2 linked regions of the Neodiprion lecontei genome follow. The protein of the gene in region 2 purifies or fractionates together with the protein of the main gene of each other region. This does not show direct contact. Links are inferred from orthologs where the notes say so. Each region holds a gene or a part of one and is shown on either strand. Other genes may lie near its edges.

Region 1 (3,759 bases), on a different chromosome or scaffold from region 2:
GCTCGTCGAATGACTTTCATTATACATTACGCCTGATAATTGACCACGGAGAATTCAGTTCAGTTCAGAATTCACATGTTATAAATACACAAGCATATTAAAATATAAAACTTGCTTATCTCAAATGACATATTTGCCAAACTTAACTTCTAATAAGTAAATAAATTACAAAGAAACAAAAGTGTACTTAAACTTACAAGCCTCTGGAGGCTGCAGATAAGAAAAATGACCCAGTTTGTGGAACACGGTAGTAATAATCGATATTCAACTTTATACGTGATAGTATAATATCACTCGTCCATGTCCACAACAGGAGAGATCTGCAAAAAAAAATGTTTGAAAGTAAAAGTAAAATACACAGTTGTTTACCCAGTTCTTGGATTAAGTTTTGAAACAACTGTACGACTCACGTAATATTCTACGTAACACGTGTGGCCATCTTCTGCTTTGACCTTGTACTGGAAACAAAGCAGCCCATATTTGTCTGTTCTTATTGACACAATAATAGCACAGGATAATGGTTTCATAGCTGGTTTGAAATGAGTTAGTTTATAACATGAACTGGCCGTTGTGCTGCACTGAAAACTTTCTATAAGGTTACTATCGCGAGGTACTTCGACTTGGCACTCTCCAGCTATTCCATCTGTACTTATTCTCAAGTATGGCGGTTCAGGTGATAGTAAAAGCTGAAAGAAAATTTTAACATTCATCAATCGCCCATTGAAGAAGACGTGGAAGTCTAGATTAGTTGGCTCGTGTTGATAGACTCAAGGATAAATAGATCGTATCACCTGAACCAAATGTTAGGAAAGGAGAAAAAAAATACTGTTCAACAAATCTCCAGCAATGTCATTCGTGGTAAGAATATTTAACACGAATGAAACGATATCTTTATCTATGTAATGGAAATCAATTTGCACAGATTTGAATTAAATAAGCCTAAATATAAACAATTTGAGACAAGGCTTTACAATTAGAATGATCAAACTCTGGTGTTTTTGATCCAATATTGATTATTGTTTTTTGGGATTATTTTGTTGACCATGAAAATCTCCAATCCACATAAAAACAGAGTTGTGTTTAGGTAGGGTATAACAAATGTTTGTCAAGAATTACATTTGTGCACTGTAACTTTACTACAATGTAAAATTTTGGGAATATTTTTTGACAATTTGTGGAAGTCTGGTCAGCGAGCAAAATGAAATTAAAAACATTAGAATCAGATCCAAAATTCTTGCGTTTAATTATTTTGAGCATTCTAATTATAAAATCCTTCCTAAAATTGTTGATATCGTAGTTTATGATACTGTAATCTGCTCGGATGTATATCTATTACAGAGTAAGAATGTTGTTGCATTGGTGTTCACCATCATTGGCACAAATTACATTATTGGAAATTGTTCAAATGGCTCTTTCTCTTTTCCCAGCTTTTGATTCAGATGATACGGCCTATTTGTCATTAATGAATTACCTCTATCACATCACAGGTTGGATCTAGTTCCGACAAAACATCTTTGAGTAAATCGGTTTTGAGTAATACTTTGTTCAATACATTATCTTGAGCAAGATTGAAATCCAATAGTTCATCTGGTTCTTGAGTCTTCAGCGAACAATCAGTCACTATACCGTTTTCTTCAATGAGTACAGTTACAGGATACCCAACACCCTGCAATTCAGATCGAGCTGTAATCTGATTTCGTTCTGAAGTGACAAACCTTATGTATTCACTTCTACCCACCCTATAAAATAATTGCAGAGCAACCGAGCTACCCTGAGTGTTTATTTCTCCCCAAAACATACACAGGCACTCGACTAATACTGACAAATTAATTCTGAATATCACATCCTCTTTCAAATTGAATTCTTCAAATATTTCTGTAGGAATATACGCACTTGCTTGCATACATTTTGCATCCTCAACCGTTACTTTCAGTCCATTGTATGTGCCAAAACATGTAGCGGTCTGAAATTTTTATGAATTACACCATTTGTTTCTAGCTGCATAGCTGAATGCTGTTATAAATTTCATCAAAAATAGCATGCACACCTCTTTGAAGTTGACCGCTTTCAGTAGTTGAACAACAGTCTTAAGATTTTTCAGCTTTGCAACTAATTGATAAATCGCAGTGTCTTGACTCATTTTGTCAAAATGTTACATGGAACCTCATCAAATCACGAAACAGCGGTGATGCAATTTCTTGTACAGAAAGTTTCTCGTTATCAACAGAAGATAGCCAAGCTGCTAAAATATGTTTACATGTATGTTCTGCTTGATCATTGAGAACACGATACCTGTAATGTATTTTTTATAATTAATATTTTTCAGCCCTTGAGTCAAAAAAGTTTCAGAAATTCGAAAGACTTAGCCAGTCTATTTATCTAATGGTATACCTGAATGATGCACAGCTGCAGAAATTAACTTCAGGAAATAATGTATATATTTCACCAGATATGCCTGTCACTTGCAATAGCCACCGAGCATCATTCACACTATTTCCTGGCTCAGATTTAACGCAAATCTTTTTTACTCTTGCCAATTCGTATAGCTCAAGAGCACGCTCAAAAGTTGAACCAAATATGCCGTAAAGTCGCAGCAACGATTCGTCAGAAACTAGCATTAAATAAATGGAATGAATTAAGTATGCAACCAAATAATATTGGGAGATTTGAACAGTACTTTTCAAAATTTTCATGGCTATTTCTCCCACGATAATATTAAAAGGAAATGTATCACAAATATGATGTACATTTATTTTCACTTGCAAACTTCTCATAGACTTCATGCAGGACCTGCTTTGATGCCAGCGATAAACTTGTGTCGGCCCCCTGAGGTTTGCTTTTACTTATAAAAAGTAACTTTGCATCCAAAGACATTTCATCATGCTCGTTGTTCAACAATTAATGACTGTTATGTTCGAATACAAAGCTTGCGAATTCAATAGCAACTGTGGGTATCAGTAAATGTGTTCAAAGATGAATGAGTCGCACCATCTGAATAAGTTAGGAAAAGAGAAAAATCTCCAGCAATGTCATGAACTCTGTGTTTATGATCTGATTCCAATATTTTTGAGCTTATTTTGTTGACCATAAAATCACTATGGTGGCTGTTTAACAGAAATCGTGGGAAAAGCATTCAAGAAATCTTACATTATGACATAGTATTAATGTGCAAATATAATTGTTGACGAGAATCTATTGTACTGTAAGTACACAAATTCAACATTTAACTAATTGCAAAATTTTCTTTAGGTAATCTCTGGAGATCTCTATTGTGAAGATAATAAGCCCAAAATCGTTGGATTGAGATAAAAAATATCACAGTGTTTAATCATTTTGCACGGTTTAATTTTTTTTTACGTTTGCATATTGTTGATGTCTTAGCTTGTTTTATTTCAATTTGCTCAAATTCATCTGTAATGCGCAGTAGGAATATTTTTTCATTCATCTTCACTATCACTGGAAAAAATAACATTGCTGGAGATGTTTCAAGACTTTTTTGACGTGGGGTATTCTGCGACCCCGGCAGTGTGCAGCGGTCAGGGTTGAGGCTAACACCCACTTCAGTTGAAGCAGAAAAAGAAATTTCCGACGAACGAACATTACTCTGATTGTGAGTAAAAGTATGTGAAAGTGACAGTTTTTTTAATTTTTTGTAAATATATGAATAAACTTCTTAAGGGTGTGCCCTCCTGGTCGATTTCGACGTTGACCAAATATCTCCACATATCAAAGTCTACATACATATCTTGCAAGAGAAAA
Region 2 (3,759 bases):
TCGAAAGCAGGACCTTTAAATCTTATCCAATTGAGCTCAAATTTCCAGGGAATATGTTTTTGATCATAAACAACCGCTTTATGAGGAAGCTGCATTGAAAAAAAAAATTTTTTTATATGGTGAACCACTGTAATATACACATATGTTTGTTTCTGTCTAGTGCCAAATGCAAAGAAAATACAAAGTTTGTTGAGGTAATTCTTACTGTTCCACCTAAATTCTGCTTCAACAAACAAAAACTATATGTTACATTCTGTATGAATTCGTCATAATTTTCTGTAATAGGTGGTATGGAATTTTTTGTACCACACCACTTATACCACTAGAAACGTGAAAATCTTTAAAAACCATCCTGATACTCATAGTAACTGTACTTTACATGACTGTTGAAAAGTATAAAAGTCGCCAAACCTCTCTTAAAAATTGAATGAGCTCTGAGATTGCTATATGTATGAGAATCTTACATCAATATATGGAACACCCATCAGCTTTAAGAGTTGTTTAGAATCTTCGGCATGTTGCTTCGTAACTTTAACTAGCCTTCTGTTGAATTTTTGAATATCCTCAGTATTTCCTATTTGACAAGATAAATGACATAAGCTATGGCGGCCTAGTATCCCAATAAATCATTTTTTAAAGCACAGAAAATGTCAAAGGATGGAATCTATTTAGATTACCAGCTGCTTCAGCAACTTCTAAGGCTTTCTGCGCCTCATCTCTCTTCTCCGCACGTTTTGCCAATTCCCCACCTTTCAAGTTTGGTGGTTTACCATCAAATACATAAACAGGCTTTATACCCTGTTCTATAAAGCGCAACGTTCTGTAGAATATACCCATCAAGTGACTGTAAATATCATTCAAATGATTTAATTAAATATTGTCGGACTACATGCACAAATTAAAAAATACTTTAATAATTAATATACGATTTAAATTTTTGTCAGCTACGAAAATTAGCTAATAAACTGAATTTTCATCTTGCAATATTAATTTAAATCACGATACTCCCAATAAAGACATCGTTGCAACTGTTGTGTTGATAATAATTACAAAAATCTGCTTCAACAAAAAGTTGCGGGTCTAGAATTTGTGACTGTAATTCAAGTAAGTTTGGCCTTTTTTATGCCGTCAATAGGGTTTTTTCATAAAAAGTTGTATCTTATGTCCAAAACCACAAAGTAGATATGATTTACGAGCCAAATTGCCGGTATCTGTTACCTGGTAAGAATCATGGAAAAAGACATGGAACGAGAGAGGTTTTCATAAATATAAGTAATAAAATGAAAAGCTGAAACAAATATGGAGTAGTGCAAGTAGATATGGTTTAAAAAAAGACATTGGTAAATGAAATCTAAATACAAAAATTCATACATAAATTATGATAAAATCCTGGTTCAATATTAAATTAAATCATCAAATTTCCCATTAACAAAACCGCTATCGTTGTGAAGGAAAATTAGAAACCAACACTTCTGGTATACCTTGTAGTTTCGCCATCAATAGATGTAAGCTGGGCCCCTTCGCTGCGCACCGCAATGAGAAACTGATAAAGACACATTGATGCATCAATGGCAATCTTACGACCTGCAAAAGTATACAACTAATAGGCAAAATGACACTTGCAACTTGAACCATTCGACAAATTGATGTTGGTATCAAGAGCTGTATATGATAGACCAAAACTAATTTTAACCCTCAAGAGGCGCACTGAGATACCCAGGGGTGAAGTTATATTTGGACAAACTTTAATGAATTCGTTTTCGTTCTTTCTGTTATATCAAGAATACTCTTTTTGTATAATCATTCCGTTAACACTATCTCTTTCTACACAGTCTGATCTTTAAATTGTAAAAAAAAAGTTGAAATAGATTATTTAAATCGTAATATATAAATGATTAAAGACACACGGGTATTGACATAGCCATGTGCTTACTGATTGTGAATCGGGAAGCCGCAATAGTACGCCTCGTGAGGGTTAAAAGAGAATATTGTATGAGTATAACAAGTGGATTCAAAGTAAATTGAAAATATATTTCTGGAACGGTGTGAACTTTGTTATTGATATTAATATTAATATTACGTACCGAAATAGTGCTTTATATCTTTTTCCTTTACAGCCGACGGTGCGACGTCTGCGATCAATTTAGATAATCCCAAAATACCCATGGCTTATGACAATATTGACTCGATAACTTAGAGAAAGTTGAGTATTCTCAGGCAAGGATTAATTTAAAAGAGCAGAATTTCACAATCAAGTGGCTCTGAACAACATCTCATTATTCACACAGTATACACAATGCATTTTTCGTCCCGCAACACAATACGTGCAACCAACCACTATTCACTCTTGCTATTCCCAAACCATTTACCCGCCATTTCGGAACTTGAAGTAGAGGCTGCCAACCGCACAGCTATGTATGTATAAGGCGCGTTCGGAAATTACTAGGCTCCAGGGAAATTAGCTTCCAGTACTGTCGACCATCTGTTACGTCTTTTGTGCTGCCGAGTTTGTGGGTACCTCTGCCAGCTAGTTCCGAAATGCACCTACAGGATATATACTAATCGTACTAATATACAGTATTCCATGGCATCATCATCATCACAAAATTCATAATATAGTAATAATATCATTAACAAAATAATGTCATAAATTTCGATTATCATCATTAAAATAATAATTGATTTTATTATTAATTATTAATTTATTATTATATATTAAATAAATAAAGATTATATAAATTTGATGATTTTACTATAACAATGTCGCCTTCCTACTTCCAGTCTTGGATTGATGACCCAAACACAACGCCGATCCCGCAGACCAGGGACAACCTTAGCTGCCTGTTGGTTTTTTACACAAAGTGAAATTGTGAATAAAAAAAAAACATGCAGGACATAGAAACAGATTCGTTGTACAAATTTTTCATAATCAACCAAAGTTAGTTTTAATCGAAATAAATCATTACAGTGTTGCGCTCTATACATATATCTCTAAGTCGGTACTAAGCGCTTTGCTTGAAGTTCCGCCGCGAATTACAATTTTCTGAAGCTAACTTTGATAGTGCCCTCCAGACGAGGAAGACTTCGCTATCAAGAACTGGGTGAGACGTGAAATTATGAGAGCGTACTGTATGATCCATTTACGATTAATACGTAATGCATACATACTATAAATTTTATAATTTTCCAGGAGACAAATTAGATTATCTACAATAATACGGCTATAATATGAAAATAGGAGAATAATTCATTTCGAAATGGGATTCTATTCGACACGCGCTCGATGTATTCCATAACATTAATATTCATAATTATTCCAACAACTTTTCATTTCCTCTCTCGATCTTGAAACTTCGTAGGCATAGAATCGAAACGCTGTTTCAGCTAGTCGCAAGTGAAGTATCTACGTTGGGTAGAGACGCAGAATTGTTTTTCGGAAAGCGTTCGGATGGAAAAAAATTCAGAGTAACTGTAATACATCACGGATGCGCTAATTTTGATCCAGATGAAATGGGTACTCCATATATGAGACAGTATTTAACGCAGTGTCCTGATTTAAAGACCTAAAAAGGTGATAGAGAATGAACGAAGCTGCTTAAAACTTCAAGTGTATTTTAACACACATTTGAAAGGTGTGAGCAAAATTTTTTATCATACAACTGCCGCAGAACGGCAGCGTTATTAGCTGACCCGTTAACTGAAGAATATATCTTTAGTCAACGGCTGACTATCGAAGGGCCTGGCCGCTTGAATATGGAA

The links. The genes of interacting proteins can lie anywhere in the genome.
Region 1: the proteins of flap endonuclease 1 (region 2) and cell cycle checkpoint protein RAD1 purify together in Homo sapiens (affinity purification with western blotting; 3 studies listed by BioGRID). This does not show direct contact. The link is inferred for Neodiprion lecontei from reciprocal best matches to the Homo sapiens genes FEN1 and RAD1.

What each region holds. Positions count from the first base shown.
Region 1 is NC_060261.1:15,314,630-15,318,388, forward strand, and holds the start of cell cycle checkpoint protein RAD1, read right to left. Parts: upstream 2,275-3,759; 5' UTR 2,141-2,274; coding exon 2,048-2,140; intron 1,964-2,047; coding exon 1,739-1,963; intron 1,667-1,738; coding exon 1,472-1,666; intron 687-1,471; coding exon 411-686; intron 321-410; coding exon 291-320; 3' UTR 1-290. UniProt on the Homo sapiens protein: Component of the 9-1-1 cell-cycle checkpoint response complex that plays a major role in DNA repair. The 9-1-1 complex is recruited to DNA lesion upon damage by the RAD17-replication factor C (RFC) clamp loader complex.
Region 2 is NC_060262.1:23,979,409-23,983,167, forward strand, and holds the start of flap endonuclease 1, read right to left. Parts: upstream 2,380-3,759; 5' UTR 2,167-2,379; coding exon 2,085-2,166; intron 1,585-2,084; coding exon 1,482-1,584; intron 845-1,481; coding exon 678-844; intron 575-677; coding exon 465-574; intron 1-464. UniProt on the Homo sapiens protein: Structure-specific nuclease with 5'-flap endonuclease and 5'-3' exonuclease activities involved in DNA replication and repair.